Anolis sagrei: one gene and its partners. The main gene of each other region encodes a partner of the protein of the gene in region 2 in a complex. Links are inferred from orthologs where the notes say so. Each region holds a gene or a part of one and is shown on either strand. Other genes may lie near its edges. The genes, in order: POLR2H; POLR1C; TAF1B; TATA box-binding protein-associated factor, RNA polymerase I, subunit C.

Region 1 (8,547 bases), on a different chromosome or scaffold from region 2:
CGAAACAAACATAAAAATTCTCCGCTAATGACAGCATGGCAAGGAGGGGGGCATTTAACCTCCTGAAGAAGTGAACTGGGGCTGCCATGTTTGTAAGAGATGCAAATGTGCAGGTGGTGGGATAGAGAAGACAGTCTCCCCAAGGGGCTAAATCTGCAAAAAAGCATGATCTAGACCAATGGTCCTCAACCTGTGGGTCCCTGGGTGTTTTGGGCTACAACTCCCAGAAACCCCAGCCAGTTTACCAACTATTAGGATTTCCGGGAGTTGGAGGCCAAAACATGTGGGACCCACAGATTGACAACCACTGATGTAGACACATTACTCACCCAAACCTATGTTACATCCACACCTCTGGCAGAACATTTTTCCCATTACCTGGATGGCCTATCATCAGTAGGATTGTATTCACCATCATCCAGGGTTCCATCTTCGTACAAGGTACTGGCAATTACCAGGCGGAATTTGTCACCTGAAATGAGAGAAGACAGGAGACGTAGGAGTCAGTGCAGTGTACTGGTTTGAGTAGTAGAACTATGACTCCAGGAGACAAGGGTCTGGCCATGGAAGACCTTTGAAAGGATTTAGGCAACCCACACTCTCTCATCCTCAGAGGGCAATAACAAACCTCTTCTAAAGAAATCTTGACAAGAAAACACTACCATAGAGACACCAAAAGTTGAGTTTAGGTACATAACACGCTTGAAGCAAAATACGACACTGTCAATTCAGTACAAGGTGATTTCAAAGGCTGCACTATGGCTGAAATAATACTTCTACACGTTACAAGTTCAGCACCCCTTATCTGGAATTCCAAAATCCTCCAAAGCTGTCCACATGGCTGGCTGAGATAGTTACACCTTTTGCTTTCTGATGGTTCAGTGTACATGGATTTTGTTATGTGAAAAGAATTATTAAAAATACTGTGCATAAAGTTACCTGTATGTATATGATGTACATGAGAGATAAATGAATTCAGCATTTGTGTCCCATCTCCAAGATAGCTCATGATGTACTTAAATGAAAATATGAAAAAGAAAATCTGCGATCCAAAGCATTTTGGATAAGAGGAAAAGAGCAGGGTTTATATACGGTAAGTCAAGAAGCCTGAATTTGCCAAGAGAAAAAAGCTTAAAAATAAACAGATTTTTAATCAAACAACACAAGCTTAGCTATTACCCAACAGTTGGGCCAGTGACTTAAAACTGACTTACCAAGATCAACAGGATAGATCTGTACATTCACATCTAGGATTAAATCCATCTTGAAGGACTCACTCTCACAATGTAGTCGGGAAACTGATGAGACAAACCCATATGTCAATTAAGACACAACATTGGAAGTATATTGTCACCAAGCAGAAAACGGGGAACTTTTTCTAGTAGCCTGAAGACAGATAGGGTGGAAGCAGATCGTACCTTGTTCAAATGTCATCATGAAATGTGGTGGATGACTGTTAGTAATGTATTAATGTTTGGCCTACAGCAAAGGATTGTGATCTGTAGTTTGGGGGGCGGGTGGGATTATATGTGGCACCTTGGGTTCTCAGGAGAAACAGTAGGTATAAGAGCAATAAATGAATGTGGGGATAGAAGGGAAGGTTCACAGAGGGCAGGAATAGTTCTTGGGAAATATTGTATAAATACATGTATAAAATGTTATATAACTATAGAAGTTATATAACTGGGTTGTTGTAGGTTTTTCCGGGCTATATGGCCATTTGAATGCAATATTCCTGCTTCTTGGCAGGGGGTTGGACTGGATGGCCCATGAATCATAGAATCATAGAATCAAAGAGTTGGAAGAGACCTCATGGGCCATCCAGTCCAACCCCCTGCCAAGAAGCAGGAATATTGCATTCAAATCACCCCTGACAGATGGCCATCCAGCCTCTGTTTAAAAGCTTCCAAAGAAGGAGCCTCCACCACACTCTGGGGCAGAGAGTTCCACTGCTGAACGGCTCTCACAGTCAGGAAGTTCTTCCTAATGTTCAGATGGAATCTCCTCTCTTGTCGTTTGAAGCCATTGTTCCGCGTCCTAGTCTCCAGGGAAGCAGAAAACAAGCTTGCTCCCTCCTCCCTGTGGCTTCCTCTCACATATTTATACATGGCTATCATATCTCCTCTCAGCCTTCTCTTCTTCAGGCTAAACATGCCCAGTTCCCTAAGCCGCTCCTCATAGGGCTTGTTCTCCAGACCCTTGATCATTTTAGGTCTCTTCCAACTCTTTGATTCTATGATTCTATGATCAGATCCTGACCAAACTTGGCACACAGACCCAACATGGCCAACTGTGCATACAAGTGCACAGGGGTTTGAGGATGATTGACCTTGGCTCTGGGAGATGTAGTTCACCCTATCCAGCAAGCACTGAACCCAGCCGACTTTGGACTTGGACAAAACATGGCACACAGACCCAACATGGCCAATTTTGCATACAGGCCCTCTTTTGGGGGTGATTGACATAGGATCTGGGAGTTGTAGTTCGCCTAGGCATCATGTTATATAGTGTTAACAAACCAGTCAATTCTGACTTATTCTAAGACCACCAAACACACTTCTCACACCTATGTCAAGACAAAGACACAAATACAGATAGTCCGAAAGTTACAAACATCCAACTTACAAACTACTCGTAGTTAAGAACAAGGGCGAGACAACAAGAAGGGAGAGAAATCTACCCCTCAGAAGGGAAATTCTCTGTGTTATTGTTTATATGTAAGTTATATTAATTGTACTGTTTTATTTGCTTGCTGTTTTGTTTTTACTGATGAGTTGTTGGCCTTGGCCTCATGTAAGCCGCTCCGAGTCCCCTTGAGGAGATGATGGCGGGGTACAAATAAAGTTTATTATTATTATTATTGCATTAAATCCACACCTGGAAAAGTGTCTCCACTGAAGCTTTATCACCGATCCTTGTATCCACAACAAGTCAAATTGTCCAAAATGAATTATCACTGGGACAGAAAGTGAGGTGAAATCATAACAGGGGCACAGAGAGCAAAACAAACACCACAGGGGTGTTAACCTTTCTCTATGCTATCCAAAAATATACATAGATATTTGGCTGGAGGATACACAGTCAACTTATGAACAAACCTACAGAACCTATCTTGTTCTTAACTTGAGGACTGCCTATATAAGATAACATACATAATAATCATCATCACAGTCAGAATACTTGCCCCTGTCGAACTTCTTTCCCTCGGGGTCGATATCCTTCACGTCGAAAATGTCCTCGAAGAGGATGCCAGCCATGGCCAAAGAGAAGGAGGCCCAACGCCCACAGGTTCAGGGGTGGGTCAGGAAGGGGAAGGAATGCAGCCTGACAAAGAGAACCAGAGCCAGACACAAGACACATCAAAAATCCCGCCCTCTGCGCCCTCGACTCGGAGCCAGAGCTGACAGGATCCGCGTGGAGTGAGAAACCCCACACTAGGGTTACTTCCGGCGCTCGCAGATGACGCAGCGCGCCCGAAGCTCAAGCAGCCATCGCGTTCGCGGGCAGAAGGAGGTTTCAAACCCCAGAGGAAACGGGAAGGCAGCATGAGGTCACTGGACTCCCTTGCGCCTGCGCAGAAGCTTTCTTTGCCTCCCTGGCAAACTAGCAGTATACAGAAGAGTTTGGTGGGTGACTTATGTTGGGTGTTCCATGTTAAAGGACTGGAGAAGAGTCTGGCGTTAGTTACAAACAGCAAAACTGAGTTGATTAAAGCAGCATACATAATATATTGCGGAATGAATTCATATATATATATATATATATATATACACACATAACATAACACAAAGCCCCCGGTGGTGCAGTGGGTTAAAGCACTGAGCTGCTGAGCTTGTTGATCGAAAGGTCGCAGGTTCAATTCCGGGGAGCGGCGTGAGCTTCCGCTGTCAACCCTAGCTTCTGCTGGAGGGGACGTGGTTTTAAAAAGGGAATTTTCATATATTTCCCCTATGCCCATATGTCATGATTTACTGCCATATTGGCCTATTTCTGCAGTAGGCCTTTGTTCACAGAAAATGCTGATTGTTTGAGAAATCAGTGCTCCAAAGAAGAAGTTACTATTCAAGGGTAACAACATATCTGGACAAAACCAGCTAGCTGTTTGCTAGATAGAACCCCCAAGTTTCCCAGTCGCTCTGAAGCCATGTTTGCAACAGACTAATAGATAAGATACAGTCATGGTCAGAGAACAATGGACCATAGTTATGTTATAGTTGTGCCATTGTTAGGATCCCACGTGTGCTATAATGTCAATCAAAATCATAAACAACTAATGAACAACTGCATAGCTAGCTTAGACCAATGAAGTGATTTGTCTTTGGGAACCAATGAAAATGTATATTCCATTTACTATAATTGCTCTGCAGCCCCCTTGGGGGTTGCGACAAACCCTTTGATTGCATCCCTGTATGCTTGTTTGTCGTTATTGCTATGGCCACGCAATAATAAATAGTTTTTTGCAGTTTAAAGGATTCAACTTTCGTGGTGTCCATTCTTGCCCTCCCTATTGGAAAGGGGGCTTCTGCCTTTTGGGAAATATTTTGGTTTTGTTGCCCCTACACTGCCAACCTAGCAGTTCGAAAACATGCAAATGTGAGTAGATCAATAGGTACCGTTCCGGCGGGAAGGTAACGGCACTCCATGCAGTCATGCCAGCCACATGACCTTGGAGGTGTCTATGGACAACGCTGGCTCTTCGGCTTAGAAATGGAGATGAGCACCACACCCCAGAGTCAGACATGACTGGACTTAATGTCAGGGGACAACCTTTACCTTTATATATATACACACACACACACACACACATTTTTCTTTGTATTTGTAGGTGCAAAGATGACTGCAGACACAGACTGTGGCCAGGAAATCAGAAGACGCTTACTTCTTGGGAGGAGAGCAATGTCCAGTCTCGACAAAATAGTAAAGAGTAGAGACATCACACTGGCAACAAAGATCCATTGCATAGTCCAATCCATGGTCTTCCCTGTAGTCACCTACGGATGTGAGAGCTGGACCTTAGGGAAGGCTGAGCGAAGGAAGAGAGATGCTTTTGAGCTGTGGTGCTGGAGGAAAGTGCTGAGAAGATCCAACCAGTTCATACTCCAGGAAATAAAGCCCGGGTGCTCATTGGAGGGAAGGATACTAGAGACAAAGTTGAAGTCCTTTGGCCACATCATGAGGAGACAGGAAAGCCTAGAGAAGACAATTATGCTGGGGAAAGTGGAAGGCAAAAGGAAGAGGGGCCGACCAAGGGCAAGATGGATGGATGGCATCCTTGAAGTGACTGGACTGACCTTGAAGGAGCTGGGGGTGGTGACGGCCGACAGGGAGCTCTGGCGTGGGCTGGTCCATGAGGTCACGAAGAGTTGGAGACGACTGAACGAATGAACAACAACATACACACATACATACATATACATATATACATATATATATATACATCTCAAAGCAGGGAGCTTTGAGACGGCAGAACAGAAGCAGAAACCGCATTGAGTCGCCGATTTAGGCTGCAAATTCGGTATAAAAATAAAGCAAATAAATAAAATAAATAAGCTCTCCGAAGCTCTAGGTGCTCTTACTGCCTATTACAGGGAAAACCAGCTGATCCCTAACCCATCTAAAACACAGACATGTGCCTTTCATCTCAAGAACAGAGAAACGGGAAGGCAGCATGAGGTCACTGGATTCCCTTGCGCCTGCGCAGAAGCTTTCTTTGCCTCCCTGGGAAGCTACCACTATATAGAAGGGTTTTGTGGGTGACTTATTTTGGGCGCTCCAGCTAAAAGGACTGGAGAAGAGTCTGGCATTAGTTGCAAACAACAAAACTGCGTTTATTAAAGCATCAGATATATATATTGCGGAATGAATTCATACTATATATATATGAATGAATATATGAACACACAAATACACTAGCTGTACCTGCATTGCTGTGGCCAACCTTCCCCTCCCTCTTTTTCTCCTTTCCCTCCTTCCTTTGCTCCCTCTTTCCTTCCTTCTCTTTTCTTCTTTCCTTCTCTCCTTCCTTCCTTCCTTTCTTCCCTACCTCTTTCCTTCCTTGCCCCCTTTTCTTTCCCTTTTCTCTCCTTTCTTCCTTCTCTACCTATTTCCTTCCTTCACTTTTTACTTCCATCCGTCTCTCTTTCCTTCCCTCCCTTTCTCTCCTTCTTTACTCCTTCCTTACGTCCCTTCTGCCACTGCCAGAAGGGACAGAGAGCTTCATCTATGCTGATGATCGTGCCATTACTGCTCAAGCAGGCAGCTTTGAGACTGTAGAACAGAAGCTCTCCGAAGCTCTAGGTGCTCTTACTGCCTATTACAGGGAAAACCAGCTGATCCCTAACCTATCTAAAACACAGACATGTGCCTTTCATCTCAAGAACAGAGAAGCATCCCGAGCTCTGAAGATCACCTGGGAAGGAATCTCACTGGAGCATTGCAGCGCACCCAAAAACCTGGGAGTCACTCTGGACCGTGCTCTTACCTACAAGAAGCATTGCCTGAACATCAAGCAAAAAGTGGGTGCTAGAAACAATATCATATGAAAGCTGACTGGCACAACCTGGGGATCACAACCAGATACAGTGAAGACATCTGCCCTTACGCTATGCTACTCTACTGCTGAGTATGCATGCCCAGTGTGGAACACATCTCACCACACTAAAACAGTGGATGTGGCTCTTAATGAGACATGCCGCATTATCACGGGGTGTCTGCGCCCTACACCACTGGAGAAACTACACTGCTTAGCCGGTATTGCACCACCTGACATCCGCCGGGAAGTAGCAGCCAATAGTGAAAGGACCAAAGCAGAGACATCTCCAGCTCATCCCCTGTTTGAGTATCAGCCAACACGTCAACGACTTAAATCTAGACATAGTTTTCTAAGATCTACAGAGACACTTGCTGGAACACCTCAGCAAGCGAGAGTCCAAAAGTGGCAGGCTCAAACCCAGAACCTCAATCAATGGCTGATACCAAATGAGAGATTCCCCCCTGGGCACACAGAAGACTGGGCGACTTGGAAGGCGCTGAACAAACTGCGCTCTGGCACCACGAGATGCAGAGCCAACCTTAAGAAATGGGGCTACAAAGTGGAATCCACGACATGCGAGTGTGGAGAAGAGCAAACCACTGACCACCTGCTGCAATGCAACCTGAGCCCTGCCACATGCACAATGGAGGACTTTCTTGCAGCAACACCAGGAGCACTCCAAGTGGCGAGATACTGGTCAAAGGACATTTAACCAGCTATCAAACTCACAAGTTGTGTATTTTTCTGTTTGTTTGCTTTGTTCTGTTAGAAATGTAATATAATGGACTGGGTGCTCTGACACGACAAATAAATAAATAAATATACATACATACATACAGATACACATTACACATTGTGGAATGAATTCATATATATGGAAATATATGATTATATAGATATATGATTGTGTTTGTATATATATATATACACACACACACAATCATACATCTATATAATCATATAATATTTCCATATATATGAATTCATTCCACAATGTGTGACTGTATATATACATATTGTGCGTGTATGGAATGAATATATATATATATATATATATATATATATATACACACACACACACACATACATACATACATTGTGGAATTAATTCATATATATGGAAATATATATGTGTGTGTGTGTGTGTGTGTGTATATATATATATATATATATATACACACACACACACACACACACACACAGAGATATAATTCATATATATATATATATATATATATATATCTTTTCTTTGTTTCTAATCTAACTTTTAATGCAAATATATAAACATACAATAATACATCAAATAAAAATACAATAAAAATAATAAAAGAACAATACAAAATAAACACAAGATACAATATAAAATCACAATAATTGATCAGGGTGTGCAGGGCCAATTACAAAGACTATTTTTTTAAAAAACTCTTGGTGAGGTAAGTAGTGTAGTGTATCTCTCCGGTGAGGCATCTTCTATAAACGACAATATGCAAATATATAGCAAAATAATACAATCTGTCTACTTAAGTTATTATAGAATGTCCTCGTCTTGCCATAAACAAGCAGTTTCTCTGGTATTCCAAACTGCTTCAGTCTTCAGTTTCAGCACGCTGTGTAACCGCTCCCAGCAACAGTTAAAGGTTTCTTCAGCTCAAAACGAGCCATCAGGCTAAGCTAAAAATGCAAAGTTCAAAACTTGCAAGCCTTAGTGCCTTGTTTTATGCAGAAAGTGATAACACACCCAATTAATTTGTGGCAGTTGTAACAGAAAAGGGTCTGATCTTCCCTGTTACTTAGAAAAAGCCTGTTGTAAACCCCTAGTAGCAACAGTCACGACCTCTGAGGATGCCTGTCATTTGTTGTTTATTCGTTCAGTCGCTTCGTGACCTCCTGGACTAGCCCTAGCCAGAACTCCCTGTCGTCCGTCACCACCCCCAGATCCTTCAAGGTCAATCCAGTCACTTCAAGGATACCATCCATCCATCTTGCCCTTGGTCGGCCCCTCTTCCTTTTTCCTT
Region 2 (8,518 bases):
AGTGCATAAGGACATCAATCTCTTGGCCAGGCCGCAGTTGAGCAATGAGGATGTCGTCATGAACAGGACGGAAGCCAGCATTCATGTTGTCTGCCTGAGACCCCAGTGGCACCCATTCCATGTGCTTGCTGTAAACTGTAAAGATAAAAAAGGGCACGGGGAAAAAACATTTGTTACTAAGCAGACAGCTGAATAAACTATGGCACCATTCTCCATCACCAATCAAAGCAAAGTAGCAACTGTGGACAGCAACTTGCTGCAACAAACACCATAAAGTAAGATTCAGAAATGGAAAAAAATGACTGAACTGAGACACTGGGTGTCTAGAATCAGTGCTCAAGAAACAGCAGAATACAGGACAACGACTCCAAAACAAATGTTTTACCTTTGTGATTAATATAGAGTTCATTCGGGTCAGATGATTCCTTAGGTGCCTCGAGGTTCCTGCTACATTTTATTTTCAGCTGGAATTGCAGAGTGTTAATTTCATCACATTCATCCTCTGCAGAAGAAAAGAAAGAGACTGAAAACTCCAAACACAGCCTATGCTCTGGCATTAACTTCTTTTAGCACATAGCTTCATCAGTTTTGGTCCCCCTACAAATGCATACTTGGCTATCTTACCTTCACTTTTATATTCAAAGAGACGAGGATCTGCACAGATAGGGATCAGTCCTAAACGATGAGCCAAAATTTCATCCTGCACAATGGAGGTGTTATTATATACAAAGACCTTCTCAACAGCCATGGTTGGCACCTAAGGAAGAGACAATAAATCTGTTGCTAAGCAGAGATATTCAGCCACAGTATCGCAAAGCATCGGTCTACAATAAATAAACACATCTATTTATTTCAGCTGAATCTGTTTAGGGATTCTGAAGGTATAATGCTATTTGTTCATGCCATGTATCGAGAAGATCTAAAATATAAATCTACTGTGTAAATCCAAAGTCTTACTTTACTATATTAGGAGAGGCAAAACTCCCTTATTTCTAAGCAATATATCAAGCCTCCACAAGGAAACTAGGCAATTTAACACATTTGCCATGCATTTCCTGAAGGTCTGACCAAGAAAAGGTTAAACCATCTAGAACGTACCACTGATAATTGTAAAGACTTTACTTATAGTTAAATGACTGCAAATTAGGATTTTGCACACTCCACCAAGTTTAGTCTAAAGCAGTAAAAATTATAAGAAGCAGAAATTATCATTATTATTATTTATTTATTTTTATCCGCTTTTCTCTCACAGGTGAGACACAAAGTGGCAAACAAATGGTTAAAAAACAGAAATTACATAATACAAGAGTACAACATCATCCCCAACCCAGACAAATAAACAATAAACAAAACACTGTATAAACACACTACATAAACCATATATATAAAACCATATAAAATAATGACATTAATGGCCTCCATCAGGATAATGAAACAGTACCACACATCCCTCTCAATATTTCTTCAACATTTTATTTACTTCTAAGGGAAACTTCTGGAATAACTCAGAATGACCAGCTTGTACTTGTAAAAATGTAATTGCAGCCAAACCCAGCCAACTAAGTCATAACCCAGAGAAATGCCCCAAAAGTGCCTTATTACTCATTGTACTAATCTAATGAATACCTCAGCAAGCAAGATGCGTCGGAAAGCATTAGCAATTGCTGCATCAATCCCCACCATGTCAAACTCCAGTGTGCTTTCATCCATGCTGATGATATCTACTCTGAAATTCTGTAAGAAACAAACAGTTTCAAAACAGGCGTAGTCTTAAGGATAAAATATATTCACTGGAAAAGAACAAGAAGTAAAAAAAACTTCGCAATCAGGGATGTGTTTGAGTAATCGACACCACTGAAAAAATATATTCAGCTTACAATCAAATCCTCACATCAATTACTTTCTTCCAGTCTGTTTTAGGTGTATTTCTGCAAAAGAGAATCCTACAGCAGGAATGGGCAAAATGCAGTTCCCAGGCCATATGTATCCTCCAGATTTAGCTTGTGGGCCCCAGAGATACCAAGGTCAAAGGGAATTTTCTTTGTGTAGTGCACTTAACAACAACAACAATGCATTGTACTTGTTACCTGCCTCTCCACATAGCTTGAGGCAGGATACAACAATTATCAATCCCTGCTGAATTGAAATCTATCCTGTATCTTTTACACCTGGACCATAAATCCCTCCACCTCACAATAGACATGTCAGTACTACTGGCTGAACAAATATATACTATATAGATAAAGCAATTTCTAGAAACAAAACAAAGGTTCTAAATCTCTACTGGTTACTATCAAGATCTATCATGCTAGCCCCTCAAGATACCTAAGAAGAAGTACGCTCACCTTTTCAAACTTAGTTCTATCCCAAGCATCATCATATCCAGAATAATTCCCGGGAAAGTCTGTTGTGTGGGCCTGAAAAAAAGAGGGGAAGAGGTGATGCTTGGAACATATACATTGCAGAGAAAATCATAGGGTCAGCCTGAGACAGAGCTAGGAAAATCCCCCTAGTTCAAGCCATAGACAATTGAATTTGTGGACACAAGGGGCCAACTGAGCACTGAAAGTTATACTGTACAGGTTGAGGATCCCTTATCCAAAACGCTTGCTTGAGATCAGAAATGTTTTGGGATCTTTCAGTTTATGGAATACCTGTATTTGCTTTGACATGAATAATAAGATATCTTGGAGTCCAAAAGACCTAGAGGGCCCAATTAGTAGGTCTCACTTGATCTACTAATTTGCATATGGTTTCTGAAGCTACAAGGCCATTAAATTCTCGAGAGCAACACGTGTGAAAAAGATCTTGGAGTCCTCATGGACAATAAGTTAAATATGAGCCGACAATGTCATGCGGCGGCAAAAAAAAGCTAATGGGATTTTGGCTTGCATCAATAGGAGTACAGTGTCTAGACCCAGGGAAGTCATGCTACTCCTCTATTCCTTCCTTGGTTAGACCACATCTGGAAGACTGTGTCCAATTCTGGGCACCGCAATTGAAGGGAGAGGTTGACAAGCTGGAATGTGTCCAGAGGAGGGCAACTAAAATGAACAAGCGTTTGGAGAACAAGCCTGAGGCTGTTGGGAATGGTGGGAGTTGAAGTCCAAAACACCTGGAGGGCCCAACTTGGCCCAGGCCTGCTTTAGCTTTCGCCTGTCCGGTCTGGTTTAGAGTGGAAGATGCCACAGCATTGATCCCCAGCTGTGAAAGTGGCGCCAAGCGGCACTGATTCCTCCTTGGTGGCCCCTCTGTGAGCTGAACCAGCTGTCTTCCCTGGCCTGGCTGTGGCGGGGATTGGGTCCAAGGCAGGCCTCCTGGAAGTGCCCCTTCGCTCCCCCCCTGCTGCTGCTGGTTCCCTTTCTCCCTTCCCGACTTACGTTGCGGACTCCGAACTCGCCCAGAACCACTCGGCTCCGCATCTCCTCCACGCTCCCGGGCGCCGCCATCTTGGAACCAACGTGAGCCGGAGGAGAAAAGATCAACTTTCCAACTTCCGCCGGATGTTTTGGTTTTTTTTTTTCAGAAGCGACGCTCTCTTGGGGTCACGTGACGCGGCGCGTAACCTTTTGGACGCCATATTGTGTGTGGCGCTCCTTCGCTGTAGAATTCATGCTGCTTGAAACCCCTTTCACTGACAAGGCTCTCAATACTCATTAATGATGGGAGCTGTAGTTTTATGAGGCACCACTCTTTAACAGAGAGGACAAACTTTGCCTTTTTTTCGCCCGTTGTCGCTAAGCTTGTCCAGGAGGACAACTAAGATGGCGCCAGCGACAGGCCGCCTGCCGTAAAATATCGCGAGAGGGGCCGCGCCTCCACGTCCTCAGCGCCGCTGGGTGTCACATCCGGGTCCTTCTCGCTTCGCCTTCAGTTGGGCCCTGTTTTCCTGCCTCTCCTCTCAGGGAAGCGGGAGCGTAGGCTCCCTCGCAGCCGGAGGGAAGATGTCCGGATCCGGAGGCGTCCCCTCGGGGTCGGCGGCTGGAGGAGCCAGGGCTGGGCCTGTGGCCGAGTGGGGGGCCTTCGAGGACAACATGCAGGTACCTTTCGGCATTGGAGTTAGCCCAGAGACCAGGCAGGGGCAAACTTGGCCCTCCCTTCCAGGTGTTTTGGACGCCAACTCTGCTTCAAAAACGTCAGGCAGGAAAAGCCCCTGTTTTGTAAGGTCCCTTCTACACTGTCCTTATGTTCCAGAATCTGACCCCAGGTTGAACTGGATTATATGAGTCTCCATTGCCAGATGATCTGTGATAAGCAAATAATCTGGGATCAGGTCCTGTCATATAGAACAATGTAGGAGAGAGTGTTTGAGAATGTACTTATTTAGTTGGCTTAGTTAGGAGTGAGTCCTCTAGTAGATAACCACCTATTGAGAGGTAACTTCTTAGCTTCAAAACCTGCTGGAGTTCCTTTAGGTGCTCCTAAAATGTATTAGGAAATACCATGTTTACTTGAGTCTAATGCTCCCCCTTTTGGGGACTAAAATGGCTATATAGTCCAAATTGATGTGTTTGTTAGATTCAATGGTGCATTACACTTGAGTACATACGGGTAAAAATAGCAGTGTCCTGTTCAAGTAGTTCTAAGCACTAACTTATGGAAATGCCTTCTGGTAACTGTCTGTTCATTTGGCCAACCCCAAATCTGGTGTTTTTAATGTAATGATAACAGAATTGTACATTATTTGCCCAAGTCTAATGCTTGTCTTTTTTTTGGATAAATTACACAGCTAAAAATTAAAATGTGCATTAGATTGAATGACCCATTATGCTCGGGTGAATATGCTACGTTTTTAAAATATATAAAGGAGAGAGAGAGAAAAATAAACATAACAAATAAAGTTTTTGAAATAAGAGATCAAAGGGGTTGTTGCCGAAGGAAGCTCTAGAGCAGAGCTTTCCAAACATTTCATGGTGACACACTTTTTAGACTTCACTTTATTTCTTAATTAGTCACTCTCCACCAAGGTGCTCCGAGCGACTTACAATCTAAAATAGCATTTACACAATATAAAAACATTCAACATAAAAACATTCAACAGTGACTATTTGGCAAATTAGATCTGATTACTTAAATGCACAACCAAACAGCCAAGTCTTGAGTGCCTTTACAAAAGGTCGCAACTCCGACAATGCTCTAATGTATGGAGGCAATGAGTTCCACAGAATTGGAGCATGCATCATTTTGTGCCACTAATTCAGTTTCACTGGAAAACCAGAGTTTAAACCATCCTTTTATAACCATATAGTTTTAAATATATATCATTATGCTTACTTTACATACTCAGAGGTTTCTCATTACATTCACATAACACACCTACACACTGCAACCAAGACACTATAATATATCATGACATTTTGGAAAGCTTTATTCTAGATACTAAAGGGATGAGCCTCAGTGCTGATCTCCGGATAGATTGCACTAATTTTTATTATTAGTGGTATTTCTATTTATAATATTGAATGTATCTCCAATGCAACAATTAAATGTAGCTTGAAACTACTTTAACTGCCATGCCTTAATGCTATGGAATTCTGGGAACTGGAGTTTTAAAAGGTCTCTGCTGAATAGTGTTGATGCCTCACCAAACTATGACTCCCAGATTTCTATTGAATTGAGCCACAGTAATTACATTGGTGTCAAATTGCATTAACTACAGTTGAGATGTACCCATTATTAACAGGAACTTTGAAGTGATGTCAGTATTGGTTCAAATTATGAAAACATCATAAGGCTGATTTAGTTCTCCTTATTCATGCCTGTAATATACTTGTAAGATAAAACTACAGAAATGTTAAATTTGAGTAATATTGTCGGATTTGAGTTGTCAATACAGCTTCTCTGCAATGACATTTGTGTGGCTGACCTTTCCAATGGCATGCACTTGCTCTAGGCTTTCTTCTTTAGGCACAGATTTAGTTATTGTTGTGGAGCTATTGCCTTGTCAGCTTTGATTACACAAACAACTGAAAAAGCCCTGCAATTGCAACAGCTATGGAAGACATATGTGCAAGTGCCACTTTCTAACTCATGTGGATGATACCTTTTATTTAGTCTTTTAAATTTTCTCCCATTTTGGAAAAGGGCTTCCTCTTTAAATGGTCTCTTTTTGCAATTGTATGTTGAAGTCATCGAATTACACACAGAATTGGACAGATTCATGAGTTAAAAGGATTCCACATATTGTTATCCCATAAACAATAATTTTTCTAGTACAAATAGAAAAGATTATTAGGTTTTTTCTGCCAAAATTCTTGAGTTAACTAATTGAATGTTTTGATTATCCGTTTGACCCCAGGTCTTCAAATGGCAGTCTGTTCTGCCTGCCCAACCTGATCATATGCATGTTTCATAGCTTCCATTTCAATAGACTTTATTCAATTCCATACAATTTTAGTTATACCATGAATTTATAATAATCTTAAATAATCACTAGTTCCATGGTCTAACTTAACTAACCTTCCTGTCTCCATAGCACTATAGGCTGTAGAAATATCTCTTCCATCTGAAAGGTTATTTATTGTAGAAATATACGCTCGCTATGAAGCAATAAACTTTTGACTGTCAGTCTGGTTTGGGTTAATCTCTGATCTACCTTGCCCTTCAAGATATTGTGGGGATGACAGTCCAGTGTATCTGGAAAAACAAAGATTTCCCACAACTTCAAGCAAGCCATTTGGGTTTGATACTATGTTTGTCTAAAGGCATTGTTTTGACACTAGTTTGTAACGGTCTTGAAAATAGAAGGCATGCCTCTAATGTTTGTTCTCAGATCCATAAAATGGTTTCAATTTGAAATCAGGAGTAAGATCTCTTGCTTCAGCACACATTCCCAGAAACCTCTTGTCACAAAACATTGATGGGATAAGTGGTTTTTGTGGGGTGGAAAGAGGAGTTTTGTGCTGCAAACCATCCCAGAACTCCACTCTGCCAACATATGTTTTAAACGTTTAGACCTCCTATGGTAATGCACAGAAATGTGACATTTCTAGAGGGTTTGAAGCCTTTGGCGGATGGGGGACATTGATTTGTCTCCAATTCTCAAAGTAATCTTGTTCTTATAGCAGCAGGGTACAACTACAGAATCGCTAATTTAGTCTCCCCCATCCTAAAATGTGAGAACAGTATTAATCACTATAGAAAAGCTTTAGGTCAGAAGAGGGCAATTGTGGGACTATATTGGAAACCGTATGCATATACCCCTGGTGTGCACTGGTTTGGTGTTGTTGTTTTTTTTAAAGTTAGGATTTTTTCCAGTGAAAAGACTGTCCAGGAGACTAGGGAGACAATTTCACCTTCTTTTGAGCCTAGTGAATTTTCCCCCAAGTTCTGATTTACTTTTCCTCAACCTAAAACAGCTTGCAGGAGTTCACAAAGTCATTGGACTTCCTTCCTTTTATTTTTATCTAATGCAGTGGTTCTCAACCTGTGGGTCCCCAGAAGTTTTGTCCTTCAGCTCCCAGAAATCCTAACAGCTGATAAACTGGCTGGGATTTCTGGGAGTTATAGGCCAAAAGGGGACCCACAGGTTGAGAACCACTGATCTAATGGATCTAAATGTCCTCAACTAGAAGGAATATCTGAACTTTAAGGAACCTTTTGTGGTTTTCATTTTACAATAGTTTCATCTGAAGGTTAACAAAGCACAAATAACAAAACAAAGTTTGAGCCTTCTCCCTAGTTGTGTATGATGGGAATGGAAGCAGGGGACATATTCCCATGGTTCCAGTTAACTAGGATCCATCTACACTGCCATATAAAATCCAGATTATCTGCTTTGAACTGGATTATACAGCTGTGTAGACTCATATAATTAAGTTCAAAGCAGATAATCTGGATTATATAGCAATGTAGATCTAGCCTAAGAATATACTCTTAATTACTGTCAATGGTGAAACTCTTCCCAATTTTCAGCATCTACTGATACATCGAATGAAGCCAACAAAAAGGATGCTTTCCTCTTGCTCTTCCCATTTGACACAAAGACAAGTATGAAGAATTGAGTTTACATTGATTGTTATCAATGCCTGTAATTTTTTTTCTACAGAGAGAGATTATTGTAGGATATTCATTGCAGCCTTCTTTCTCATGGCTGTGCTGCCTCTCGAGTCAAGGTAAATGTTTGTGCATGGTCTCACTGTATCTTTCCACCTTGCTCAGGGTGGAGGTTCTGCTGTAATTGACATGGAAAACATGGATGACACATCTGGCTCCAGCTTTGAAGACATGGGTGAGATGCATCAACGTATGAAGGAAGAGGAAGAGGTGGATGCAGAAGCAGCAGCTGCTGATGAAGAAGATGGAGAGTTCTTGGGGATGAAGGGCTTTAAGGGACAGTTGAGTCGGCAAGTTGCTGATGAGGTAACCACAGCTTTCTTTATCAAATCTGAGGATCAAAGTTTTAAATCCTGATTCCCACATGTTTCTAATTTATTCCAATTTTTTGGAAATAGTATCTTGATGTTTCTTCCATATTGTAGTCTTGACTAATGTTTATTGCCCAATTTAGAGGGATAAT
Region 3 (7,623 bases), about 81 Mb from region 2:
AATTTCAAAATTGCAGAAGTCTAAAACCTCATGGAACTTTAAATACCGTAAAGGAGTAATAATGTCTATTTATGTAGTAGTAGTAGTAATTATTATTATTATTATTTTGTTATTACATTGTTATGAAAAAATGAATTACATTATCAATCTTAAAATTATAACTTTTATCACTAATGTGATATGAGCATTACTTATGGTATACTCAAATTCAAGGCAAAAGTAAGTTATTATAAATTGTCTAGGGCTTTCTAAAAGACTCACATTACTACTTCCTATAATTTGTTATAAAAAAGGGAAAAAAGTTAAGAAGATAGCTATGGAGCAATTTGGAGAGCCAAGGTTTCAAGGAAGGAGAAAATACAGGAATGGTTAAGTGGTGATATTTCGAAATCGCGCAATTCCTGGTGATTACATTAATTAAAAGAAATTACCATGAAAGGATTATTCAACAAAACTTTAGGCGAGTAATGGAGCATTGATGCCCATTTGGAGACCACCCATAGAAACACCTATTCCTCGGTGTCACTAAAATGAGGTAACTTGGAAGAATCTGACAGATCCCATCCCACATGTAAATAAGCACCTTCTGCTATTTACGCATGAATCAGGAGCTCAGAAGATATTTCTCCCTGACTCCAATTCTCCCCATTTGTATACACTTTTAAAACACTTCACAGATGGATTACCATGGACAACAGGAAGAAGTCATTTTGTGTCGTATGATGAGCTCTGTTTTTAAAGTGTATAGAAATGGGGGGTGGGGGGTGGTGGTAAACACGACTTGCATCTGACGAGGTCCTACACCTTCTTGGTGAGCAAGAGATAATTGTGGGCTCCTCAGATAACTCTTAGCAGAGACACTTTGAGGTGTTATTTGACACAGGTTGCTTGTTTCCTGAAAGCAAATGCCTTGACATTTAACATGTCACCAAAGAGAATGGCTTCCTTATAATTAAGCATGTCTAACACCAAAACCTAAACAGTGTGTGTGTCAATGGTCTATTCGGCTTTGGGAAAATGGGAACCAGAACAGTAATATTAGCAGTGGAATCTTGTTCATTAGAAAGGAAGCCTGGAAGAATCCACCGGGCGTGTATTTATCTGAGTTGTGTATCAAGCTGCGTGTACTGCATATAACAATCTTAATTAGAAAAGTGAACTGAAGCAAGAAGACAGACTGTCTCCTTACTCCAACATTATCATATTCCTATCAATGTCTCCTTATACTTAGGTAACATATAATTATAGACAAAGGTTAGCATATAATTGTATATGTTGAATAACTGGTTATATGTGTATGTCATTATTTAAAGGCAGGGTTGGCTTTCCTCCAATTGGTGTTTGAGCAAGGAAGAGTGAGTGGGAAAGAGGGAATCGGTACCGAGTGATGAACATAGGGGTTAATTGAACAATGAACAGCCATGAAATAAAATACAATAACAATGGTTTCAGAGTGTGTGCTTTTTAAAAAGAATACATGTATATACAGGTTGAGTCTTCTTATCTGAAACAGTAGGACTAAAGGTGTTTTAGATTTCAGATTATTATTTTGGGGGGATTTTGAAATACCTGTGTTTGCATATATGTGCTTATGAGATCCAAATCGAAGCACAAATTTCATTTATGTTTCATATACACTTTACATTCATAAGTATATATGAAAGTAATTTAATACACAATTTTAAAACAATTTTGTGCATGAAGCCAAGTTTGTGTAGTTCAAATTGTCAAGAAGCAAAGATTTCACCATTTCATGTGTACACTTTTGGATTTTGGAGAATTTTGGATTTTGAATTTCGAAATTCCTGACAAGGGCTGCTCATGCTGTATTTCGCATTCCAAACGGAAACAAAATTTACTTTTGAGTTAGAAATGAATGACTAATGCCCCTTCCGGCAAACTGGTGAACATGTGAGCAGAACAAGGAAGGCCTGTGTAGAAGACATATTGATGGAGAGCCTTGGGCTGATTGTCTCTCTTCCTGCTCAGTCAAGGACTGAATGTTAACTGAGGCATGTTGAGAGAAGGCAACTAAGGCCCCTTCCACACCCGAATAAAATCCCACATTTTCTGTGTTGAACTGGGATATATGGCAGTGTGGACTCAGATAACCCAGTTCAAATAAGATATTGTGGGATTTTCTGCCTTGATATTCTGGAATATAGGGTTGTGTAGAAGGGCCCTGAGTCAAAAGCCAGAAAATACTATTGTTTTCAGGGCACCTGATCAAAAGGTTTGAAACTGGCCCGTAGCCAGTTTTTGATTTGGGGGGGGAGGGGGGGGGGCTGAGTCTGAGTGAAAGAGGGTCTACCCTAGCAAACCTTTTGTATTGTTACCCCAATACCCCCGTGCATATGGGATATATTGAGCATGGTGATCAGATCATGATATGAATAAACATAACAGTTTAAATAATGTACCAGTAAGGCCTTTTCGCAGACCACCATGAGAATTTGTGTGGACATAGAGTAGACTTTTCTCCCCCTTCCTGCCTCCATCCAATCCAACTGCCATTGACTTAGAGCCCTTCCACACAGGTTATCAAGGCAGAAAATCCCACATTATCTGCTTTGAACTGGGTTATCTGAGTCCACACTCAGATAATGTGGGATTTCCTGCCTTGATATTCTGGAATATAAGGCTTTGTGGAAGGGACTTAACTGGGTTCAAAACTTATCTTCTTTAATCTCAATTATATGAGTCTCCACTTCCAAATAATCAAGGATAAGAAGGTAATCTGGGATCAGATCCTGGGATATAGGACAGTGTGGAAGGGGCCTTATAGGGAGTCTTAGGGCTCTTCCACACAGCCATATAACCCAGAATATCAAGGCAGAAAATCCCACAATATCTCCTTTGAACTGGAGTATATGTCAGTGTGGACTCAGGGCCCTTCCACACAGCCCTGTATCCCAGACTATCAAGGCAGGAAATCCCACATTATCTGAGTGTGGACTCAGGGCCCTTCCACACAGCCCTATATCCCAGACTATCAAGGCAGGAAATCCCACAATATCCACTTTGAACTGGATTATCTGAGTCCACACTCAGATAATGTGGAATTTGCTGCCTTGATATTCTGGGATATAGGGCTGCATGGAAGGGCTCTCAGATAACCCAGTACAAAGCAGATATTGTGGGATTTTCTGCCTTGATATTCTGGAATATGTGTGGAAGGGCCCTTAGATAACCCAGGGTCCTTCCAAACAGGTCCTATATCCCAGGTGTTCTGCTTTAAATTGGATTATACGAGTCCCCACTGTTAGATAATCTGGGATAAACAGAAAACCTGGGATCAGATCCTGGGATATAGGGCCCTTCCACACAGTTATAGAACCCAGAATATCAAAGCAGCTAATCCACAATATCTGCTTTGAACTGGGTTATCTGAGTCCACGCTGCCATATTGTTGCTGTTGTTCATTTGTTCAGTCATTTCTGACTCTTCGTGACTTCATGGACCAGTCCACACCAGAGCTCCCTGTCGGCTGTCACCACCCCCAGCTCCTTCAAGGTCAATCCAGTCACTTCAAGCATACCATCCATCCATCTTGCCCTTGGTCGGCCCCTCTTCCTTTTTCCTTCCTAGGTATAACCTAGTTCAAAGCAGATAATGTGGGATTTTACTCAGCCAGGCATGTAGCCGGGGGGGGGGGGGGGGGGGGGGGGGCCTTGAGGGGCTTCAGCCCCCCCCCCCCCCGAAATTCTCATGGTGGTTCGCGAAAAGGCCTTCCTGGTGCATTATTTAAACTGTTAATTCATATCATGATCTGATCACCATGCTCAATATATCCCATATGCATGGGGGTATTGGGGTAATGATACAAAAGGTTTGCTAGGGTAGACCCTCTTTCACTCAGACTCAGCCCCCCCCCCCGAAACTCAGCCCCCCCTGAAAAAAAATTAGGCCCCCCCACCCCGAAATGAAATCCTGGCTACGGGCCTGTACTCAGCTGTGTGGAAGGAGCCTTTGTGTTGATATGTCCTCCCATTCTGGAAGGCGAATGGAAGATCAGTTGCCGAAAAGAACCACATTTACACTTACTAGGCCACATGTTCTGCCATCTGGGCTTCCTTATCAAAATCGCTTATGACTTGGTAAAGAGAGGCGAGTGTCAACTGCTGCCTTTTTGACTGATTTATCCCACATGCACTTTTCTCACACGCATCCCATGGGGTGTGCTTGAAGGGCGCGCCTCTTTCCCTGCAGGGGGCGACGAGCGACAGAGAGAAGCCGCTGCGGTTCGAGCCTCGGAACCAAAGCACTCGGAGTGTTGTTTCCCGGCCGACTGTTTTTGAGAGCGGACCGCTCATCCGGTGGGCTTCTCTCGCACCGCGGGGACCATCGACGGTGGTCTGGAAGGGACTTTCCGATGGAGGAAGAGGAGGCGGTGAGGCTAGGCTGAGGGAAGGGGGCATTTCGGGGAGAAGGAGCGCTCCCTGGAAATACTGGGGGCCCTTCCATACAGCTGAATAAAACCCCACATTAGCCGCTTTGAACTGGAATATATGGCAGTGTGGACTCAGATATCCCAGTTCAAAGCAGGTATTGTGGGATGTTCTGCCTTGATATTCTGGATTATTGGGATGTGTGGAAGGGCCCAGGGAAGGAGAGCAAAAACCCACGTGGAGCAGACAGCAGGCCCTTCTACACAGCCCTATAACCCAAAATATCAAGGCAGAAAATCCCACAATGTCTGCTTTGAACTGAGTTATCTGAGTCCACACTGCTACATGTTCCATTATTTATTTATTTTATTTACACAATTTCTACCCCTCCCTTCTCACCCCTGAGGGGGGACTCAGGACGGCTAACATGGGCAACAATTCAGTGCCATAATATCAATACAACAATGTAAAATCAAATACATAGCAAATTAAAACAGTAACATTAATTAAAATCACATACTTATATACTAACAAAGTTGCCAAATCAAGTCACATAGCCGTTTCCAATTGTCATAACAATCCTATGGTCCGGGTTCAGTATCTAAAGTGCTGCTGTGCCCACTAGCCAAAGGCCTGGCTCCAAAACCACGACTTTAGTTTTTTCCTAAAAGTAAGGAGGGAGGACGCCGATCTGATCTCACTGAGGAGCGAATTCCACAAGCAGGGGGCCACTACCAAGAAGGCCCTGTCCCTCGTCCCCACCAAGCGCGTTTGTGACACTGGTGAGACCGAGAGCAGGGCCCCCGCAGTAGATCTTAAATTATGAGGTGAAACATAGAGAGAGATACGTTCGGATAAGTAAGCTGGGCTGGAGCTTATTTATCTGAAGCAGATAACGTGGGCTTTTATTCAACTTTGGAAGGGGTCTCAATGCTACATAATGCCAAGAGTTGCAGTTTGGAGAGGTACCAGCACTCTTTGGGCCCTTCCACACAGCCCTATATCCCAGAATATCAAGGCAGAAAATCCCACAATATCTGCTTTGAACTGGGTTACCTGAGTACACACTCAGATAATGTGGAATTTTCTGCATTGATACTCTGGGTTATAGGGCTGTATGGAGGAGCCCTTTGGCTAAAGGCCTTGTAAAACTACAACTCTCAGGATTCCATAGCATTGATCCATGTCAACAAAAAGTGTGAATCTGCATTAGTTTTACAGTGTAGATGCACCTTAAATGGGATGCTAAAAAGTGAGCATTTGAGGATATGTGTATTTTGAGAAAAGATGCAGCCAAGTTGAGGGGGAAAGTGCATGCTCCATGCCTATACAAGCAATTATTACATAATTAATAATAAAATGATATTTTATGTGTTACTTGTCTTTTCTCACAGCTTGAGATGAGGAACAACACAGTCAAAACACAACACTATAAAATACATGTCATAAAATCAATACATTAAAACACACCATTGAAAAATACATAAATTAAAATACAATGCAAATAGCTATATTAAAATATAAGTAGAATGTAAAGTTAAAATTCACCATTTAAAATGTATTGGATTCAGGACTGTTGATGTCTGCAAAAAAGGAAACTAAGAAAATTGCCACACCTACGTATGAAATTGGACAATACCCTATTGATATTTTTTAAAACAGTAAATTATAATTGTATAGGAAGAACTTGGCTGTCCTTTGGGGTGTCCAGCTCATCATACAAGTCTGTATGCATCCAACATTTCTAGTTAAAGTCCAACTATCTTACAGTGTTTATAAACAACATCTTTAGATGGAGAAATCTAAAGCTAATTAAATTAGGTGCTTCATACCACAATCCAATGCATTTTGTTTATATAAGCCTAAGCCCCACTATGCTCAATAGAATGTGCTTGTTGGTAAAGGTGCATAATACTTGGGTGCAATTCTAGGCACACTTACTTGGAGGCCCTATTGACCACAATCCACTTCATTTCTAAGTGAACACAGTGATTTTTGTGTGATTATTACATTTAAAGGAGATATTTCTCTCAAATCTTACTTCCATGTCAGTTTATAGTGTGTTTGATTAGTATGAAAAGTAGGTATTTACATTAAAATTGATTTTATTGTTTTCAGAGAGATTTTGATGAACCTTGTGCAAAATGTATTTCTGTCGACTGGGGTGTTACAGAAGAAGGCAAATTTTACTGCAGATCTTGCCACACGGTCACAGAAGTAAGTAATGATCTATGCTGTTATCCCCTTCCACACTCCTAAACTGTGAATCTTTAGTTTAAAATTAAATCATCAGCATTGTCTGGGATCTTTATTAATGATCTTCCTCTGACTAATTAGTGACTCAGAATACAGATGCATATTACAGCCAAAAAATACACCCAAGAGTCTAGAAGAGTATTGTTGTACTGTGTAGGATTCTCAGCCAGGGTCTGCATCCAAGTCAGATTTGTGCATAAAAAGCTGTTTTCCTTCCAGTTGCTTACTTGGGACCGATTTTTGCAGCCTCTGCTGCTGACTCCATTATATTCATAATTAATTTTAATCATGTCATATTTCCATGCTTAAAGGAAAATGTCTGCAAGTATCTGGATGACAATGCAGTGATTAGTAGCGGCCAACATGGGTTTGTCAAGAACAAATCTTTCCAAACTTACCCTAGATCTTTTTTTTTAATTGGGTCATTAATTTAGTAGGTGGTGGGAATGCTGTGAGTGCCATTATTCTGGCTTTCAGCAAACTATTTGATAAAGTCCCCACAATATTTTGATTAGCAAATTGTCTAAATATGGAATAGATGGAAATGCCATCAGATGGATCCATAATTGCTCAAGGAGTTGTTGTCAATGGCTCTGCTTCAGATTGGAAGGCAGCCTCAAGTGGAATGCCACAATTTGCAAATGATGCAAAACTGGATGGGGTAGTCAGTACATTGGAGGACAGGAACAGCATTCAAAATAACCTGGAAAACTGGACTAAACTTAATAAAATGAAGTGTAACAGAGACAAATGTAAAAGTCTACATTTAGGCCACAAAATTAAAAGCACAGATAAAAGATGGCAGATACTTGGTTCAACTGTTCTGTGAATAAAAAGGATCTTGGGATTACTCTTGATCATAAATTGTACATGAGTCAGCAGTGTGATACTGCAACAAAGAAGACAAATGCTGTTTTGGCCTACATTGATAGAAGCGTTATTGCCAAGTTGAAGGAAGTGATAGTGTTATATATTTTTC
Region 4 (7,919 bases), on a different chromosome or scaffold from region 2:
CCAAGAGATTTGCAGGATTTTTCAGAGGCAGCACTGATGGAATCGTTCCAGGAGTTGCATGTGACATCTGTAGACAGTCCACGTTTCGCAGGCGTATAGCAGGGTTGGGAGGACAATGGCTTTATCAACAAGCCCTTTGGTCTCCCTACAGATGTCCCGGTCCTCAAACACTCTCTGCTTCATATGGAAAAATGCTGAACTCGCAGAGCTCAGGCGGTGTTGACGTCTGTAGACAGTCCACATCTCGCAGGCATATAGAAGGGTTGGGAGGACAATAGCTTTATAAACAAGCTCCTTGGTCTCCCTATGGATGTCCCGGTCCTCAAACACTCTCTGCTTCATTTAGAAAAATGCTGCACTTGCAGAGCTCAGTCGGTGTATATACATGAATCTGTGCCTTCTATGAGCGATTTGCAGGATTTTCCAGAGACAGCGCTGATGGAATCGTCCCAGGAGTTGCATGAGATGTCTGTAGACAGTCCACGTCTCGCAGGCGTAGAGCAGGGTTGGGAGGAAAATATCTTTGTAAACAAGCCCCTTGGTCTCCCTATGGATGTTCTGGTCCTCAAACACTCTCTGCTTCATTTGGAAAAATGCTGCATGCAGAGAGCTCAGGCGGTGTTGTATTTCAGTGTATATGTTGACGGCTGTAGACAGTCCACGTTTCGCAGGCGTATAACAGGGTTGGGAGGACAATAGCTTTATAAACAAGCCCCATGGTCTCCCTACAGATGTCCCAGTCCTCAAACACTCTCTGCTTCATTCGGAAAAATGCTGCACTCTCAGAGCTCAGGCAGTGTTGTATTTCAGTGTTGATGTTGACATCTGTAGACAGTCCACATCTCGCAGGCGTATAGCAGTGTTGAGAGGACAATAGCTTTATAAACAAGCACCTTGGTCTCCCTACGGATGTCCTGGTCCTCAAACACTCTCTGCTTCATTCGGAAACATGCTGCACTCGCAGAGCTCAGGCAGTGTTGTATTTCAGTGTCAATGTTGACGTCTGTAGACAGTCCACGTCTCGCAGGCGTATAGAAGGGTTGGGAGGGCAGTGGGTTTATCTACAAGCACCTTGGTCTCCCTACGGATGTCCCGATCCTCAAACACTCTCTGCTTCATTCGCAGAGCTCAGGCGGTATTGTATTTCGGTATCAATGTTGACTTTGGTGGAGAGGTGGCTGCCAAGGTAGCGGAAATGGTCCACATTTTCTAATGTTATGCCATTAAGTTTTGTTTTTATTAGGAGACGCAAATGATGTATGCTTTTAGTATTCCTGTTATGTTTTTATATTATGTGTTAATGTTTCTAAATGTTTTATGTTGTTTTTGGGCATTGAATCATTGCCATTTGTAAACAGCCCTGAGTTGTGTAAGGGCTGAGAAGGGCGGTATACAAATATAGTAAACAAACAAACAAATAAATAAATATTTCTGGCATTTGGGGAGGGAAGTGCTGGAAGAGCACTTTGGTTTTCTCAATGTTTAATGACAGGCCAAGCTTCTTGTATGCTTCTGCAAAGGTGTTTAGAGTGGCTTGTAGGTCTTCTAAATGTGCACAGATGACATTGTCATCAGCATACTGGAGTTCTATAACAGATGTTGTTGTGACCTTTGTTTTGGCGCATCTTGGTTTTCTTGATGTTCAATGACAGGCCGAGCTTCTCATATGCTTCTGCGAAGGTGTTTAGAGTGGTTTGTAAGTTTTCTTCTGAATGCGCACAGATGACGCTGTCATCAGCATACTGGAGTTCTATAACAGATGTTGTTGTGACCTTGGTTTTGGCGCACTTTCATTTTCTTGATGTTCAACGACAGGCCAAGCTTCTCATATGCTTCTGCGAAAGTGTTTAGAGTAGCTTGTAGTTCTTCTTCTGAATGTGCACAGATGACATTGTCATCAGCATACTGGAGTTCTATAACAGATGTTGTTGCGACCTTGGTTTTGGCGCACTTTGGTTTTCTTGATGTTCAATGACAGGCCGAGCTTCTCATATGCTTCTGCGAAAGTGTTTAGAGTGGCCTGTAGTTCTTCTGAATGTGCACAGATGACATTGTCATCAGCATACTGGAGTTCTATAACAGATGTTGTTGCGACCTTGGTTTTGGCGCACTTTGGTTTTCTTGATGTTCAATGACAGGCCGAGCTTCTCGTATGCTTCTGCAAAGGTGTTTAAATGGTATTGTCGAAGGATGTTCAATGACAGGCCGAGCTTCTCATATGCTTCTGAGAAAGTGTTTGGAGTGGCCTGTAGTTCTTCTTCTGAATGTGCACAGATGACATTGTCATCAGCATACTGGAGTTCTATAACAGATGTTGTTGTGACCTTGGTTTTGGCGCACTTTGGTTTTCTTGATGTTCAATGACAGGCCGAGCTTCTAATATGCTTCTGAAAAGATGTTTAGAGTGGCTTGTAGTTCTTCTTCTGAATGCGCATAGATGACATTGTCATCAGCATACTGGATTTCTATAACAGATGTTGTTGTGACCTGGGTTTTGGCGAACTTTAACTTGATGTTCAACAACAGGCCGTGCTTCTCATATGCTTCTGTGAAGGTGTTTAGAGTGGCCTGTAGTTCTTCTGAATGCGCATAGATGACATTGTCATCAGCATACTGGAATTCTATAACAGATGTTGTAACCTTTGTTTTGGCTTTCAGTCTGTTGAGGTTAAACAGCTTGCCATCTGTTATATGTATTGTATGTATGTATGTATGTATACAAAAATAAATAAATAGTTGAAGCCATAACAACAACAACAACAACAACAATTCTCAATGGAAAGGGAAGGCCTTGGTGGGTTGCTTCTCCCACCTCAGCCTTGTGCCCCTGTTAATAATAATGAGGATAATAGCAATAATGATAATTCAGCTCACTTCCTCCTCTTCTTCCTCTTCCTCTTCCTCTTCCTGCTCCCTCTGCACTTGCCCATAGGAGCCCCAGCCAGACGCCAAGGAGGAGGGCCGGGTGACAGCGCGGTGGGGCGGCCCCGCCAGGAAGAGCCCCGGGAAGAGCCTCTCCGGAAAGGAAGCCGCCTCCGCCATGCTTGCTTCCTTCCTTGAGAAGAGGCGGACGCGGGCCTCGAACTCGCGGCAATCAGGAGGAAGAGGAGCAACTGCGCATGCGCCACTTCCAACAGCCCTCCCGTCCTCCCTCCTGGCGGCCGGAAAGCCCCGGAGTGGAAACACCGCCTATCGCCACGCCCCCTCTTCCTGATTGGGTGGACCACTCGGAGGCGGGGCTTGGGGACAGTCAGTCATCCTCAGTCGCCTGCGGCCTATCGCCACGCCCCCCTCTTCCTGATTGGGTGGACAACAAGGAGGCGGGGCTTGGGGGACAGTCAGTCATCCTGAGTCGCCTGCGAGCCTATCGCCACGCCCCCTATTCCTGATTGGGTGGACGACGCGGAGGCGGGGCTTAGGGGACAGTCATCCTGAGTCGCCTGCGAGCCTATCGCCACGCCCCCTCTTCCTGATTGGGTGGACAACAAGGAGGCGGGGCTTGGGGGACAGTCAGTCATCCTGAGTCGCCTGCCAGCCTATCGCCACGCCCCCTCTTCCTGATTGGGTGGACGACGCGGAGGCGGGGCTTAGGGGACAGTCATCCTGAGTCGCCTGCGGGCCTATCGCCACGCCCCCTCTTCCTGATTGGGTGGAAGACACGGAGGCGGGGCTTGGGGGAAGGTCAGTCATCCTGAGTCGCCTGCGGGCCTATCGCCACGCCCCCTCTTCCTGATTGGGTGGAAGACACGGAGGCGGGGCTTGGGGGAAGGTCAGTCATCCTGAGTCGCCTGCGGGCCTATCGCCACGCCCCCTCTTCCTGATTGGGTGGAAGACACGGAGGCGGGGCTTGGGGGAAGGTCAGTCATCCTGAGTCGCCTGCGGGCCTATCGCCACGCCCCCTCTTCCTGATTGGGTGGAAGACACGGAGGCGGGGCTTGGGGGAAGGTCAGTCATCCTGAGTCGCCTGCGGGCCTATCGCCACGCCCCCTCTTCCTGATTGGGTGGAAGACACGGAGGCGGGGCTTGGGGGACAGTCAGTCATCCTGAGTCGCCTGCGGGCCTATCGCCACGCCCCCTCTTCCTGATTGGGTGGAAGACACGGAGGCGGGGCTTGGGGGACAGTCAATCATCCTGAGTCGTAATATAATGTAATATAATATAATATAATATAATATAATATAATATAATATAATATAATATAATATAATATAATATAATATAATATAATATATAATATAATATAATATAATATAATATAATATAATATAACAACATAACATAACATAATATAATATATTATATAATATAATATATAATATATAATAATAATATATAATCTAATGTAAAATCTAATATAATACAAAATATATAATATAATATAATATAAAATATAAAATATAATCTAATGTAATGTATAATAATATAAAATATAATCTAATATATAATATAATCTAATATAATATATAATAATAATATATAATCTAATATAAAATCTAATATAATACAAAATATATAATATAATATAATATAATACAATATAATACAATATATATAATATAATGTATTATATTATATTGAATATAATATTATTATATTATATAATGTATATCGTATTATATTGTATACAATATAATATATTATATGTAATGTAATATAATGATAAATAAATAAATGGAGGCGCATTTTTGGAGAAGTGGCATTTATTTATTATTTATTATTTGGGGCATTATTATTATTATTTAGTAAATAAAATATATTACATTACATTATATATATGTTATATAATATAATATATATTATATAATTCTAAATATTATATAAAATATAATATATATATTATATTTAATATATATATTATATATTATATAAAATAATATATTTTTAATATATATCACATATATTAATATATTATATAAAATAGTACAATATAAATTTTATTATATTACATAATATATATATTCTGAAAAAGGAAGGAGAAGCCACTGTTTTCAGCATCCAGCCATTCGCCTGGCTCAGGAAGCCCCTTCATGCTTCCTGGGCCACTAATCCACTAACAAAATTCACAGAAGAGGAGAGAACTATAAATCCCATGTCATCAAGGGCTGGAAGGACCTGGCAGGAGTCCGGGGGTCCTGAGGGCTGACCGCAGGAGGCTGCCCGGGGTGGCAGGCTTCTGGACATTGGTGGAATGGAGGCACAAATATCGCTGCAGCGTGGGGCCATGTGTTGGAGTGCAAAAAGTAAGATAGCAGTTAGTCTTAATATTAGTCTAGGAAAAGAATGGCACTGGTTTGGAGGTGATCCGTCGACCCGCAGATTCGGGGGCCCAATGGGTTTCCATATCCGCGGTTCAGAGGATTGCAGTTTCTGCCTCCGAGTTGTTTAATTCATTCCAGCTGGAATGGATGACGACCGCAATCATTTGCCCAGGAGCCAACATGACTCGTTGGAAAAAGTTATACAGTTTTTATAGGAAATACAGAGCTTACAGAGCCGGCTTCGCGCTGATTGGTTGGAGTCATCAGCTGGCCGGGAGGCGCGGCTGGCTGAGCTGCACTCTAGCCAATCAGAGCGCTTTCCCCGCTTCGGCCTCTCAGCCAATGAGGAGGCAGGAGGCCTGACAGGAGGGAAACAATGAATAGAAAATCATGCAGGGTCAGGGGGAAATCATGTCAGCCTCCCCCCTCCAAAGTTCCTCAAAAGGTCATAAGGTTTTGTGGAAATCCTAAAAAGTCCATAGGGGTTTGGCAGGAAGGCTTCCTGGGAGATCCAGGAGTCCTCCTGAAGTTGACAAAGTTCTAAATGTTCATAAAAGTTGTGGAAAGTTGGAAAAAGTTGATAAAAAGCGTCCAAAAGGTTCATAAAAGTCCATGGGACACATGGGAGTCAGAGGGAGCATGGAGGCGTTGGAGTCCATTTGCAGAAGAGGAGAGAACTAGAAATCCCATGTCATCAAGGGCCGGAAGGACCTGGCAAGAGCATGGGGTCATGTGTTAGAGTGCAAAAAGTAAGATAGCAGTTGGTCTTAAAATTAGTCTAGGAAAACAATGGCACCGGTTTGGAGGTGATCCGTCGACCCGCAAATACGGGGGCCCAATGGGTTTCCATATCTGCGGTTTAGAGGATCGCAGTTTCGGCATCCCCGAGACGCTGTAGGAGCGTCCCGGGTGAGCCAGCAGTGATCTGCGGCTCGGGAAAGGAAAGGTTCATGTTAGAGAGTGTTTAAGGCACTCCAGAATGTATCACTATGGAGAGGAAAAGTTGCAAGCAAAGGATTCGTTTATTGGGGTGATTGTTGCATTGGCAGGCTAAGTTCATAAAGGAGGAAAAGAAAGGTTCTTGTGTTGAAGCTGCTGCTTTGACCACAGACCCTCGGTTCTTCACGCTGTCCAGAAGTATGGAAACTGCGGAACTCCCTGCTGCAGTTGAGATCAATCTGAAGGCTTGGGGATTCAGCCTCACAGGGAGACAGAGGATGTTTCTCCTTCTGAAGGGCATCAGATGGGTTCATGGGGCATCAATTGGTTCCAATGAACATTGGCCATGTCTGCCCCACCTTTAGGCGTGGGCAGTCTAAAAAGCTGTCAAAGTGTATAAAATATCTTGTAATTTCCTCCAATTTACCTCTCCGAACATATTCTCCCCTATGAGCCATCAAGATTGCTAAGATCGTCTGGAGGGGCCCTGCTCTTGATCCCACCGGCCTCACAGGTGTGGCTGGTGGGGACGAGAGACAGGGCCTTCTCGGTGGTGGCCCCTCGACTCTGGAACTCCCTTCCACTGGAGATCAGAACTTCTATCTTAACATTCAGGAAACAGGTGAAAACTTGGCTTTGGGGATTGGCATTCGACGAATGAGCCATGATCCTGTGAAATGGATGGAAGACGACGAATAATGATTTTTGATGACGACTGACCACTGTAATTATAGGATTGTATTTTGCTATTTTAATGTTTTAGTGTGATGTAGAATATGATGTTTTAATGACTGTAATACTGATGTTGGAAACTGGCCTGAGTCCCTCGAACAGAAGTGACAAAACTGCCAAATATATCTATCTATCTATCTATCTATCTATCTATCTATCTATCTATCTATCTATCTGGGAAGGTGTGCTTTGTGTACATTTTGGAATGGAGACTCGGTCCTTGCATTCCTTTTGGCCAAACTGTGATCAACCTCTGCTGTTTAAACCCGGAGTGCTTTGTTCTCTGTCCTGGCCAATCGGGTTTGGCGGAACCTCACCGGGCACGGCCCCGCTATCCGCGGTCTCTGTTGAAATGCCCACTGTTTCCCCCCTCCCACTGTGCCTCCCGGCTGTTGCCTAAGCCAGAGGTGTGGGGTGTTTGGGTGACCCCCACTCAGGGTCCAGGGGAAGCAATGGGAGAGTGTGTTGCCCCCCTCCCCCCTCCCCCTGTCCTGAGGGAAGTCTGCCCTTCCTAAGCTGCTGTGGGGAGGGGGCCCCTTGTGACACACCTGGTTGCTATGGCAATAAGCCCACCTTCTGTTGGCATGGAGATGCTACCTGGTGGCCATGGGGTGGACAAAGGCTCTGCTCACAGTTGTCCCAAGGAGCCCTCCTGGGAGGAAGGTAGGGGGGGGGGGCAGCGAAGAAGTGAGGTTGCATCCCTTCCTCCCCACCCCCACCCCCTTCCCTTTCCCCTTCCCCATACCCACCCCTTTGCCTTTCCCCTTCCCCATCTCCTTCCTCTTCTCCATCTCCTTCCTCCTCCTTTTTTGTCTTCTCCTTATCCTCCGTTATTTGTTTGTTTGTTTGTGTGTTTGTTTACTCTCAGTCTGCTGGCTCCTCATGGCAGTCCGTGGGCAATCTCATCTCCATCTCCATCCTCCTCTTCCTCTTCTGCCTCTCCTTCATCTCCTCCTTCTTCCTCTTCTTCGCCTTATCCTCCTTTATTTG

Evidence for each region.
Region 1: POLR1C (region 2) and POLR2H share a complex: the UniProt entries of both Homo sapiens proteins name them as parts of the pol I pre-initiation complex. The link is inferred for Anolis sagrei from reciprocal best matches to the Homo sapiens genes POLR1C and POLR2H.
Region 3: POLR1C (region 2) and TAF1B share a complex: the UniProt entries of both Homo sapiens proteins name them as parts of the pol I pre-initiation complex. The link is inferred for Anolis sagrei from reciprocal best matches to the Homo sapiens genes POLR1C and TAF1B.
Region 4: POLR1C (region 2) and TATA box-binding protein-associated factor, RNA polymerase I, subunit C share a complex: the UniProt entries of both Homo sapiens proteins name them as parts of the pol I pre-initiation complex. The link is inferred for Anolis sagrei from reciprocal best matches to the Homo sapiens genes POLR1C and TAF1C.

The regions. Positions count from the first base shown.
Region 1 is NC_090023.1:261,905,938-261,914,484, reverse strand, and holds the start of POLR2H (DNA-directed RNA polymerases I, II, and III subunit RPABC3), read right to left. Parts: upstream 3,474-8,547; 5' UTR 3,258-3,473; coding exon 3,185-3,257; intron 1,299-3,184; coding exon 1,215-1,298; intron 473-1,214; coding exon 379-472; intron 1-378. UniProt on the Homo sapiens protein: DNA-dependent RNA polymerase catalyzes the transcription of DNA into RNA using the four ribonucleoside triphosphates as substrates.
Region 2 is NC_090021.1:49,747,463-49,755,980, forward strand, and holds the start of POLR1C (DNA-directed RNA polymerases I and III subunit RPAC1), read right to left. Parts: upstream 3,495-8,518; 5' UTR 3,450-3,494; coding exon 3,381-3,449; intron 2,418-3,380; coding exon 2,346-2,417; exon of another isoform or gene 2,326-2,345; intron 1,735-2,325; coding exon 1,627-1,734; intron 758-1,626; coding exon 625-757; intron 503-624; coding exon 386-502; intron 136-385; coding exon 1-135. Other genes in the region: protein YIPF3, read left to right, coding at 3,945-4,040, 8,161-8,361. UniProt on the Homo sapiens protein: DNA-dependent RNA polymerase catalyzes the transcription of DNA into RNA using the four ribonucleoside triphosphates as substrates.
Region 3 is NC_090021.1:130,630,435-130,638,057, reverse strand, and holds the start of TAF1B (TATA box-binding protein-associated factor RNA polymerase I subunit B), read left to right. Parts: upstream 1-4,236; 5' UTR 4,237-4,372; coding exon 4,373-4,390; intron 4,391-6,506; coding exon 6,507-6,605; intron 6,606-7,623. UniProt on the Homo sapiens protein: Component of RNA polymerase I core factor complex that acts as a GTF2B/TFIIB-like factor and plays a key role in multiple steps during transcription initiation such as pre-initiation complex (PIC) assembly and postpolymerase recruitment events in polymerase I (Pol I) transcription.
Region 4 is NC_090022.1:302,042,233-302,050,151, reverse strand, and holds the start of TATA box-binding protein-associated factor, RNA polymerase I, subunit C, read right to left. Parts: upstream 3,161-7,919; 5' UTR 3,043-3,160; coding exon 2,875-3,042; intron 1-2,874. UniProt on the Homo sapiens protein: Component of the transcription factor SL1/TIF-IB complex, which is involved in the assembly of the PIC (pre-initiation complex) during RNA polymerase I-dependent transcription.